2 linked regions of the Macaca mulatta genome follow. The protein of the gene in region 1 purifies or fractionates together with the protein of each later gene. This does not show direct contact. Links are inferred from orthologs where the notes say so. Each region holds a gene or a part of one and is shown on either strand. Other genes may lie near its edges.

Region 1 (6,620 bases):
AAGTTGAGACTTGTCTGACTTTCCTACTGTTTCCTTAGCCTCAAATTACTCAAAGTTAATGAGGCGCTACATTAACAATTTTCTGGTTATTGAGGCTCTATGAATACCAAAAACAGAAATATAATACAGAAAACCACATTAAAAACCCAATAGGCAAAAATATGGGGTCCGCTTAGTGTTACTGAAAACACACAATTCTTACTCTATTTCTAGAGTTCCTTCATCCAACACATGTTTATCAAGCACCTCTGCTGTATCAGGCACTGTCCCACCAGCTGGGGTGAACAAATGGGCCACGTCCCTGTTTTCATGAAACTGCATTCTAATGGAACAATTAACAACTGTCAGGTGGAAGTAAGTGTGATGCAGAAAACTGAAGGGAGGTTAGGGCATAGGGTTACTGTCAGGCTATTTTAGAAAGGCTGGTGAGGGCTGAACACTCATAACGTGACTTCTGAGCAGATTCGAATGAAAAAATGAGAACTTCACTAAATCCTATGATTCTTCAATGTTTTCAAGTTTGCATCCAAAAGACTGAAACACAGTAACTTCTTCCCTTTATTCTATAAATAGGCAAACTACCTGAACGGCTTCTAGAAAGTGGAGGTGGGGCCACGGTAGGTCAATTGTGGGGAAGAAAATGTTGAGGAATGAAATGATAAAGCCTAGTAAAGCTTTCTATTTGCAACAATGAATTTTTAATCGTCAAAACTGAAGGATCTCAAAGAATTTTAATGTGCACTTCCCCCACCCTGCCACCTTCAGAAGGAAAACTTGTCATCATAACTGTTTTCTAAAGACGGAGATGAAAGGAACTGCTCAATTTCACAACTTGTCATTATTAGAGGGAAAAGTACTTAATGCTGAAATATTAAGTAAGCATTGACAAGGAATATGAGATAAAGATCAGCACATCATTTTGGCTAGGAGAGAAAAAGAGCTAAAGGGAGAGAATGGTGCCTAAGCTAATTCATTCATTTTATGTGCTTCTTTATGATAAAGTTTAATAAATTTTTTTCTAAAATACTTTACCTTCCTGAAACCACCAGAGTTCCATCATCGAGTAAATAATCCTTCACATTCTGAGGAAGTGGAAGAATGACACTAAAAAAAAAAAAAAAAAAAACACCAAAAAAGGCATCATTTTAAAAGATCAACTATAAGCAGAGAGAAAAATGTTCACCCTTTATTGATTTTGGATTTACTTATTTCAATATAATATAAACGTATTTAATATAAAGTAGAAAATGTTAATGATGTATATTTGGTAGCAGCAGACAAGGAATTAGAATAATATGATTAAATACTGCGGTTCACCTTATTGCCACAAAAACCAGCCAAATCCAAACAATCAGATGGAAATCACAGTATGAAAGCAACAAGCTCAAAAGGATTCTGAGTGAGCACAACATTTCTGTGTCTTTAAGACATCAGAGACCAGCAGATATTTGCTGCAACACAGGAAATGCAGCAAAACAAACCAGAAGATGACTAGCGTTTGGTCACCTTCTAAAGATAGAGGGCAGAAGTAGAGTCAAGATCTGGAAACCATTTTTGGGTTGGCAATGAGCACCCACAGCTAAGAATTCATGATACTTTCGGATGTGTCTTGCTGTCATTCTATTCAGCTGATCACCAGAGATAAAAGCTGCTTAAACTGGGCATGCTTTAGCTTAATTTGTTTCAGATAATCATAATTAAGGATGGCAAAGTCATATTTGAAGTCTCTTAAAAACTTATGGGATAATTTGTTTTTACCTTGAAATAATAAATTATCAAAAAGCCCTACCACAGATACCTAAGAGTGCTGGTATTATTTTGATCTTGAGGCATATACATTTTCAAAAAGTGGAAAAGCTTACAGCCTGCTTTCAGGAAGTTAACACAACATCAGTGACTTATGTCTCATTTATTTATGGAATAAGTTTTTTTTGGCACATTACAAATGATTTTGTGCACAAAAAAAAGAGTATTCATGGGCTACTTCGGTTTTAAAAATAAATATTTGATTTATCAAAAGTACGATTTCACATTCAAAAATCTAGTTCTGGCTGAGCGCGGTGGCTCACACCTGTAATCCCAGCACTTTGGGAGGCCGAGGCGGGAGGATCACGAGGTCAGGAAATCAAGACCATCCTGGCTAACACGGTGAAACCCCGTCTCTACTAAAAATACAAAAAATTAGCCGGGGGTGGTGGCGGGCGCCTGTAGTCCCAGCTACTCGGGAAGCTGTGGCAGGAGAATGGCGTGAACTCCAGAGGCGAAGTCTGTAGTGAGCCAAGATCGCTGCCACTGCAATCTAGCCTGGGCGACAGAGCAAAACTCCGTCTCAAAAAAAAAAAAAAAAAAATCTAGTTCTTCCTCAGGCTTTCAATTTCATCTAACAAATCTTATTATGTTTGAAAATCTACTAAATTTTAATCAATTTCATGTGAAATTTTGTAACTTAAAAGTCTCTTTAAAAATTTAAATTCTATTTATACACTACTCAATTTTCTTTTTTAATGTGTCTATTGGCTGATTACAAACAAGCCTTCCTAAGTATTTTACTCTTACAAAGCTAACAAACGAAATTGTTAAGTACAATGAATCCAAGGTTCTACTAGACATTCCAATACTATTTAAAAACCTGAAACTTTTCTTATACATTTTAACTGACCATTCTGAGCCTATTACACATTTTCAAGTACATACCCAATCTTTATTGAATGAAACCATTATATAATGAATCAGCAATTACTGAAACGTTGGCTCAAAAAAATCAGTAAGTGCAAACCCCAGATTTTCTATAAACACCTTTAAAAAAACTGAGAGACGAAATTGTATATATTAATACTTGCCGCCTACCTAATGCTTTGAAGTATTTATACATTGTGGAATAGTTAAATGTAGCTAACTAACAAATGCATTGCCTAACAGAGTTATTTTTGTGATAAGAATACTAACATCCACTCTCCGTTTTTCACGAATACTATACGTATATTGTCATTATAGTCTCTATGCTATACAACAGATCTATGTACTTGTTCTCGTATCTAACTGTAATTACGTATCCTTTCACCTTCCCAATCTCCAACCTCTGGGGAGGTGGCGTAAAAGCAATTAAGCCACCGGGTGGCCTTGGGCAGTGATCATCTTGAGCCGGGGGCCATTCTAAAAGTAGTGGTGGTGAACTCCCAAGCCTAAACTACGTTAATCCACTACTCCTCCCGCCTCCGACCCTCACTGAAACCACAACTGACCCTCCTAGCCAGCACACTCGCTGGCTTGCAACAAGACGCAGACAACTGCTTACCTACTTGCCTCTCGACACACTCCCTCCCATGCAGTCGCTAGAAGGCCTGCATTTTTTTTGGATGGCAGTAAGATTCGCTCACAAGTCGCGGTTCCCTTTGGCCGGTAGGCCGGGCGAACCCCCTCCCATCTCACCTCTTGATGGTAACGCCTCGGAAGAGCGGGTACCACGCGGAGAACTGGCAGTGCAGCACATGCTCCTTCTTCATTCTCCAGCTGCCGCCGCCGCTGCCTTTCCCTCTCCTGCTTGCACCCTCCGGGAACCCTGGGCTCCGGCCCCGGAAGTGCCCACCGAGCTATTTTGGTTCAAGGACTCTTCCGGTCCCTAAAGCAAGAAGGAACACCGAGAAAGGGAAGCGGAGAAGGACAATCCCGGGGCATACGCTTGACACACACGCACACAAAAAGAGCTTTGGTCTCGAAAGAGGAATTACTGAAATGTTGAGAGAGGAATTTTAAGAAGTTTACAACTCCGTTTTTGCCCTAGACACACACTGACCCGGAAAGTAATCACCTGGAGCTAGGTCAAAGGCGGGGATTCTACGGATGCCGGGAGGAGGGCGCGCGCCCATCCTGTTAGCACCGCGAGAGGCGCCGGTGTCTCGAATCGTGGCACCGGCATCGGCTGACACTGCTGCCTCCAGCTAGTTATTTCGTCCTCTTCCGTTCTTCACCCCTACATCTTGGAGTAAGTAACCGGGACAGGCCAGTCACAACACAAAATCTCTTTGGGGAGGAGAAGTAGAAGGGGAAAGGGAGCACATCTGCATGGTGCGTGCAGCCGCGCGGTGTCTCTCAGGCTGCGGCTGGGCACGCGTCCAGGCGCCCAAGAGGGAAACTGGGGATTGGAGCGGAGGAGCCTGGGCTACTCCGAGTAAAGAAAGCGGGGAGCACCACAGCTAAGTGTTGGTTCCAGTGTAAAGGTTGCAGCATCTGCAGAGGAGTAGAATGCTTGGTAGAGGGAATATCGCCTGTACGATCCTGGGGGGGTTCGACTTTGGGAGGGAAAAGGCGAGAGGTAAATTTGAGAAAGCGGAGGAAAAAGGAGACTTGTCTCCTTTGAGCGTTGTATTCGTTTAGTCTGGCCTCGCAAAAGTTATCAAGCTGGGAAAAACGCAGATTTTTATCAGTATTCCTGCAGTGATCGAATCATAAGACTGGAAGAATTCGAATCGAACTTGTACTATCCTTCTTTTTTCCTTTGCTTCACTCCTGTCACCCAGCAAAGTTCAGTTTTGTTTGTTTCGTTAAAGAGAATGAGAAGTAACCAGCTGCTTTTATTTATTTGAGACGGAGTCTCACTCTGTGCCCAGGCTGGAGTGTAGTGGCGCAATCTCGGCTCACTGCAGCCTCCGCCTCCCGGGGTCAAGTGATTCTCCTGCCTTAGCCTCTCGAGTAGCTGAGAGCGCGCGCGCCTCCACGCCGGCTGATTTTTGTATTTTTAGTAGAGACGGGGCTTCGCCATATTTGCCAGGCTGGTCTCGAACTCCTGACCTTAGGTGATCTGCCCGCCTTAGCCTCCCAAAGTGCTGGGCTTACAGGCGTGAGCCACCGCGCCCGGCCTACCAGCCAGCCGCTTTTAACCCCTAGTCGTGTCGCTTACCCTACGAGCATTTGGCTTGCGCGAGGTATCTATGTCTAAAGATATCTCCTTAAATGTACATTCTTCCTCGTCCACCTAAGCAGTTTTAAATTAGAAACTGCCCCACGGACCGTAGGCCTCTTCAGAAGGGTATTCCTTAGAATAATAAACAGAATTCTCTGCCTATTTTGAGTTAGAAACTCTTCCCCCCAGGAATATATACATTGTTTTAGGTTTTGTTTTGTTTTTCTCAAAAATGTTACTGGCTAAGTGGCTAGTTGGAAGCAGTGCTTTAAAGAATAACATTTTCAAAGCAGAGGTAAATAGATTATAATATTGCAAGGTATGTTGGTGGGGGTTGGACAGTAATGGTTCATTTATGCCTTGATCTGGAATTATGCAGTCCTTTCTGTTTTGAGGGAGAGAAGCAATATTGTATATATGTCTGGAGGGTGGTGGTAGAAAGACTTAATGGCAGGCAGGAGCGGTCGCTCAAATAATTGTTTCGATTTGACTTAGAAAGTAAAAAATTGCAGCGGAAGGAGATGTCAGCATCTTTGGGGGATTTATTTAGGTCAGATGTTTTCTAATGAAGATAGGAGTAAATGTGCGGAAGAAAACAGATCCCGGGAACATTAGCGCTTCCGCGAGGAGCAGTACTTTAACAGCCCAAGAAACATTTGAGCATAGGCCGGTTGCGGTGCCTCATGCCTGTAATCCCAGCACTCTGGGAGGCCGAGGCGGGTGCATCACCTGAGGTTAGGAGTTTGTCCAGCCTGGCCAACATGGCGAAACCCCGTCCCTACTAAAATTACGAAAATTAGCCGGGCGTGTTGGCGCATGCCTGTAGTCCCAGCTAGTCGGGAGGCTGAAGCAGGAGAATCGCTTGAATCCGGGAGGCGGAGGTTGCGATGAGCCGAGATCGTGCCACTGCACTCCAGCCGGGCAACAGAGCAAGACTCTGTCTCGGGGGAAAAAAAAAAAAAAAGAATGTAGAGGTTAAGGCAGTTGCAAAGCTTTAATATAGAATTGCAGTTGTGTGTAGAAAAGCAGCTAAGTTTGTAAGCTTAAATATATAGATACTACAGGGAAGGAATTTTTATAAATACCTTTTATTCAGGCTGTATACTTTAGAGGTGTGTTCAGTGACTTTTTAGTATTACAGTTGGTTTTAAGTAACTTGTTACACATTTAACTAGCATCAAATAAACTGACATTATAAATAGGAGATGCTCAAATACTTTGAATGGATACAGCTAAATAAGCGTTCCGTGTATTTTAACCACTGTGGTTGTCTTCACTAAGCCATGAAATCATTGTATTCATCAAGTTTCTCCAATAAAACCTTTCGACAGTGGAAATAGTTGCTTTTCCTCCTGCATGCTGAAAAGTCAGTAATCATGTGATTATGGAGGAGGAGATTTATTGTGCAATTCCTAATGAAGTAATGAAAAACCACATTTCCTTCTCTGAATCCGTAGCATGACTAATCATCCTAGATTAATATTTTCACCTGTCTGCCAGTTTTCTTCACCTGGATGTCTGCCATCATCTCAAACATAGTGTGTACAGATTTGAGCCCTGCATCACCCCTTTTTTCTTCCGATGTCCCAGTCTCCCTTAAAACCATCTTCATGGAAATTAAATGTCACCTTGCCACTGCTACCACTCTACTCCAGACCTGTTATGTCCTGCCTGGACTATTATAAGTGGTTCTTTTTTTTTTTTTTTTTTTTGAGACGGA
Region 2 (6,028 bases), on another chromosome or scaffold:
AATATGGTCTTATGGGCATTGAAGTTGTAAACAAGTGGTATCCGGCTTGGCTCACACTTCTAATCCTGGCACTTTGGGAAGCTGAAACAGGAGGATCATTTGAAGCCACGAGTTCTGTACCAGTCTGATCAATGTAGTGAGACCCCATGTCTACACAAAACTAAAGAGTTAGACGGCATGGTGGCACACACCTGTAGTCCTAGCTACTTGGGAGGCTGAGATGGGAGGATGGCTTGGACTCAGGAGTTTGAGGTTACAGTGAGCTATGATCATCACTGCACTCCAGCCTGGGCAACACAAGACCCAATCTCTTAACAATAAAAAAAGTGGTGTCATATACTTTATCTTTATTTCAAAGTTTAAATAAACGATGCAGTGAAATTCACCTAATAGCTAAATAATCACAGATCAAAACAATGAACAGATTTTTTAGAAGTTTGGTGAGATTTCCATGAAAGATAAGGTTTATATATTTTGATTTTCTTTTTAGATTACATCGTCAGCCCAAACATCTCCTTGCATTTTTGTTGGCTGAATTGGGTACAAGGTAAGAAACTATATACGTTTACATACAGTATTGCTGGACATTTCATAAGAACCTTTCTTAAAAAGGATATGTAACACACTTAGAGAAAACGTTCACCTGATTATTAGAGAAACTTTTAGGCCAGTGGAGGAGTGAAATCACTTTGTTTCTGTGGGAGAGCTTGACTGCTTAGGAATAGGGCACAGAGTTGACATCTGAACAGGCCTGCTGGTGTACCAATGAGAGGACCACAGAACTGCCATGTTTAGACTTTCCTGTTACTAATTTGAAACTCATGAGTCTTTTTATGGAGCAAATATTAGATCTTTAGAGGAATCAGTTTTTTTAAGGTCAGACTATTTTTTCCTAAATTGGTAACAGGCTATTGAAGAAATACAGCTAGGAAGTTGATGAGTGGCACTTTAGAAACCATTGAAACAGGGATCTGTGATGAAGTAGGTAGTTACCTGTCTTCAGGGCTCACCTTTTGAAGGCACTGAGCACGTCATTCCCACCCATTCAGGAAGGCCAAGATCTCATGGAGCCCATGCCAATGAGTTTGACTACTATCTGGAAGCCTAATGTCCCTTTAAAAATAAGTAATGTAGAGTAGGTTATGATAATGATGACTAATGCATATTGAGCACCTCTTGTGAGCCAAGTGCTTTTTTGGGTGCCATCTCAATTAATCTTCACAATAGTTCTATGAAGTAGAAAGTAATATTCCTGTCTTCATGTTTAGAAACAGGTTCAGTAAAGTGAAGTTGTAGTTGGTCACATAGCTAGCTTGCTTAGTGGCAAAGTCAAGATAGATACAATCAGGTCTATCTTTCCCTGCAGCTTGCATCACCTAACAGGCTTGACACCTGTGCCTCACTGGCAGTACAGAGATAATTAAAGTGTTCTCTTCCTACTCTCTTTAAACTGTTGGGATTTGCTACCCTTGGTGTGGGGTTAAGGAGTAATTTACTTGACCATGGTAGATATGTTGGCTCTGCTGTAGAATAATTGTGTTTTTTTGTTTGTATTTTGAGATGGAGTCTCACTCTGTCACCCAGGCTGGAATGTGGTGATCTCTGCTCACTGCAAGCTCCGCCTCCCGGGTTCACGCCATTCTCCTGCCTCAGCCTCCTGAGTAGCGGTGCCCGCCACCACGCCTGGCTAATTTTTTGTATTTTTAGTAGAGATGGGGTTTCCATGTTAGCCAGGATGGTCTCGATCTCCTGACCTGGTGATCCGCCTGTCTCGGCCTCCCAAAGTGCTGGGATTACAGGCGTGAACCACCGCGCCCGCCGTGTTTTAAATATAAATTTGTTACCATCGTTGTTTGTTTGTAACTTGCACAAACTAATGAAGAAGCAAAAGCTAGTGTTGTTTTTTTCTATCGTTAGAATAATCTAGAGGTTTTGTAGAGGTGGGATAAACTATTATAACAAGTTGTGGCCAGTAAACTTACAGTCAAATGGGTTAAATGGGTTTTTGAGAAAATTCCATTTCTTTTGACAGTGAATGAAAAAAAATTTCTACATTAAGCATTGGAATCACTGTAGCCTGGAGATTAAGGGTTCCAGTCTGTGGAGGAGGAAATTTAACCCTGCCTGACTGAATTCTGTTGTTTCACTTTATGATTTATAATTTTGAATGAATGATATCTAGCCTAGAGCTTTGCTTTCTCAAAAGTGCCTGTCAACAGTTTCCTATCAAACAGTTTATCATTAAGTACCATTGACAGTTTCTGGATTGTGATTCAACTATCCTTTTTTTTTCTTGACACAGCTTGATTGAAATGACAGCTTACAAATTTAAAGTATATAATCCAGGGGAGTCCCACTCGGACATCCGTCTCTTTCGCAAGAGCGAGCGAGCTATTCTCCTTTCTCTCTTGCCTATTAAACCTCTACCCCTGGACACCCCCCCGCCCCCTGCCAAAAAAAATATAAAAATAAAATATACAATCCAATGTTGTTTTGTTTTGTTTTTGAGATGGAGTTGTGCTCTGTCGCCCAGGCTGGAGTGCAGTGGCGCGGATCTTGGCTCACTGCAACCTCTGCCTCCCAGGTTCAAGCAATTCTCCTGTCTCAGCCTCCCCAGTAGCTGGGACTATAGGCACACACCACTACGCCTGGCTAATTTTTTTGTATTTGTAGTAGAGATGGGTTTTTACCGTATTGGTCAGGCTGGTTTCGAACTCCTGACCTCAGGTGATCAGCTTGCCTCGGCCTCCCAAAATGCTGGGATTGCAGGTGTGAGCCACGCCTGGCTCCAGTGGTTTTTAATATCACATGTTAAAATTAATATGTATAACTGCTACCACAATCAATTTTAGTATGTATTTTTATCAACTATACTTTTAACCATGACTGAATCAAAATATTTGGTGCTTAGAATTTTAAAAAACAAATGTAGCCCCTTTCATGTTTTTGTATTTCTAGCTCTCTCCTTTCCCTTACTTTGTACATGGTATGATTCGTAAAAGTTTTTTTTCTTTTGTTGGATGGACTTCACACACAATGAAGGAATCAGTTTGTTTTAGACTTAAAATCAATTATAAATCTGATTGTTACCACTGGAGATTTAATTGGATTTGATGTTAGTATGGGCACATCATTAGACACAACCTGTTTGTTTTTTTTTTTGTTTTTTTTTTTTGAGACAGAGTCTCGCTCTGTCGCCCAGGCTGGAGTGCAGTGGCCGGATCTCAGCTCACTGCAAGCTCCGCCTCCCGGGTTCACGCCATTCTCCTGCCTCAGCCTCCCGAGTAGCTGGGACTACAGGCGCCCGCCACCTCGCCCGGCTAGTTTTTTGTATTTTTTTAGTAGAGACGGGGTTTCACCGTGTTAGCCAGGATGGTCTCGATCTCCCGACCTCGTGATCCGCCCGTCTCTGCCTCCCAAAGTGCTGGGATTACAGGCTTGAGCCACCGCGCCCGGCCTAGACACAACCTGTTTAATTAAAAATAAATTTTGAGGCTGGGCGTGGTGGTTTACGCCTGTAATCCCAAGCGCTTTGGGAGGCCATAGTGGGAGGATCACTTGAGTCCAGTAGTTCGAGACCAGCCTGGGCAACATAGGGAGACTCCTCCATCTCTACCAACAACAACAACAAAAAATTAGCAGTTCATAGTGGGGAGTGCCTGTAGTCCTAGCTCAGTTCACAGTGGGGAGTGCCTGTATCCTAGCTTCTTGGCAGGCTTAGGTGGGAGGATTGCTTGAGCTTGGGAGATTGAAGGTGCAGTGAGCCACGATTGCGCCACTGCACTCAAGTCTGGGTGACAGAATGAGACCCCTGTGTCATAAATAAATAAATAAATTTTGGGAAACTAAGTAGTATAGCACCAGTCGTAGAGTTTATCCTATGCTACTGAATATATTTTAAATTCATTAAGTTTAAAGGTGCTGGAATTTGGTTCCTTTAGAAAAAAACAATAATAATGGAGATATTTTTGTTTTCTTTCATAGTGGTTCTATAGATGGTAATAACCAACTTGTAATCAAAGGAAGATTCCAACAGAAACAGATAGAAAATGTCTTGAGAAGATATATCAGTAAGTGTGTAATTAATTTAATTAGATCACCCTGAAATGTTCTCATCAGGCTGCAGTGTTGTAGGAAGATCCATTTGATTGCAGTGAGCTGGGAAAAGCTGGCCTTAAAAAGATCAGAGACAAAATGATAGTGAAAGGGAGGTGGCTCTTGACTACTAACTAGGGGCATAGGGAAGGATTTGGATTTTTAAAGAAAGCCCAGCTGATTGAAGCTGCTGGTTGATTGTAGGGCTAAAGGCCAAGTCAGAGAAACCTGCCTGTGATTCAGGCCTGGCCTTGGCCCCCTTTTGTTCCTAGTTATTTAAAATTGGCATGTCTGCTAACACGTTTGAGTGGCTCTCCTGTAGACAGAAACAAGAATAAGCAAGCTGGCAGGCTTCCCTGCATCCTGGGGCATTGAGTATCAGCCCATGTTTAGTGCCGGAAACGCCACAGCAAGACAGCTTGTGTTTTCTTACCCCTCGGATAGCTGAGCTTCCCTGGTCTGGGTGCCCAGGTAAATTCTCAGCCTGGGCTTATGGAGTTCTTTGTAGGAGATATATTTAAGAAGGCAGAAACTTCTCTACCTCACTGCGGCCACCAGGTAATTGTGTGTTGCTTTATTTGCAGAGGAATATGTCACTTGTCACACATGCCGATCACCGGACACAATCCTACAGAAGGACACACGACTCTATTTCCTACAGTGCGAAACTTGTCATTCTAGATGTTCTGTTGCCAGCATCAAAACCGGCTTCCAGGCTGTCACGGGCAAGCGAGCACAGCTCCGTGCCAAAGCTAACTAATTTGCTAATCACTGATTTTGCAAAGCGTGTTGTGGAGATGTGGCTGGACAGGTTTGCCATCAGAGTGGATATACCGTTGTATTAAAAACAAGATAAAAAAGCTGCCGAGATTTTTGGCGAGTGGTTGGTTGGTCTGAAGTCCTTGCAAGACGCTGATGTTCAAGCTGTTGACATACTCATTGCCTACTTTTAACACCTGTCAGAGAAACGTGATATGGGGTAAGGAGGTGCTTTTTTAAAATCGTTCATAGACTTCTGTAAAATGCAAGATAAATTAAAGTTATTATAACAGTGATTCTTTCAATTTGGTTTGTCCTTCAGTTTTCTTTTCTATAAAAATTGTGCTTGGTGAAATCAGCAAAAAACCAACCACAGAAAACTGTGTGGGCCTGGGCTCTGACAGTCTCTGTATCCTTGTCCTGAGAAACTGGACAGGCACTTCATCTGGGCAGCCATTTCTCTTCTTCTCTGCTTCTCTTGAGATACATAGTTAAAGCAGACACGGCCTCCCACGCGTGTGTGGTGGGACCTTGAGACTTGGGAGGACTGCCTGTTTTCAGTGTCCAGGGAATGACTCCATAGATTTGACTTCTTTTCCCTATGTGAGGATGGTTGCTACTACCTCACCGCCAAGTCCTCCCCCAGCTGTTACCACATGAAGGAATACAAGGTGCTAGGTACCCTCCTTCCTCGTTGACCACTAAGAGGTCTTAGAAACATAGCCTGTAAATGTGTCTTATAACTGGCACACTAAGAAGGATCCTAGTTGAGCATCTCTGTTGGTGAGGAAGCAATGTATGTGCGGTTCAGGAAACTCCTCCAAGAGGAGTCCAAACAGGGATGCTAGAGGAAGCTTTCTGTTTTCCTAGCCAACTTGTGTTCTGGGTTTGAAAAAGACCCACCACAAATGCTTTTCTATTTTCTGATTTAAAAGTTGCTTTTGAATATGACCATGAGAAACCAAGAAATGCTGCTTGTGTGGTGCTCTGCTTCCTGAGGATTTGCTGGAAGGGCATTCTCCGCTGGCACACGGGAGAAGGCCATCTTCTGTGTCTGTGCTGTGATCTGCCTTGCTCTCACTTGCTGAGGATAAGGGCATACACGTTGCTCCTCGCTTTCTTGTTGCCAGACTTCGTACTAAGCAGCCCAGGAAGAGTCACTCAGACCCAAATG

What was found. The genes of interacting proteins can lie anywhere in the genome.
Region 2: the proteins of CDC123 (region 1) and EIF2S2 purify together in Homo sapiens (affinity purification with mass spectrometry; 4 studies listed by BioGRID and IntAct, counting the BioPlex papers as one, with this or other methods). This does not show direct contact. The link is inferred for Macaca mulatta from reciprocal best matches to the Homo sapiens genes CDC123 and EIF2S2.

What each region holds. Positions count from the first base shown.
Region 1 is NC_133414.1:13,748,185-13,754,804, reverse strand, and holds the start of CDC123 (translation initiation factor eIF2 assembly protein), read right to left. Parts: upstream 3,743-6,620; 5' UTR 3,504-3,742; coding exon 3,430-3,503; intron 1,105-3,429; coding exon 1,033-1,104; intron 1-1,032. UniProt on the Homo sapiens protein: ATP-dependent protein-folding chaperone for the eIF2 complex. Binds to the gamma subunit of the eIF2 complex which allows the subunit to assemble with the alpha and beta subunits.
Region 2 is NC_133415.1:86,856,331-86,862,358, reverse strand, and holds the end of EIF2S2 (eukaryotic translation initiation factor 2 subunit 2), read left to right. Parts: intron 1-490; coding exon 491-547; intron 548-3,984; coding exon 3,985-4,070; exon of another isoform or gene 4,071-4,679; coding exon 4,680-4,855; 3' UTR 4,856-5,159; downstream 5,160-6,028.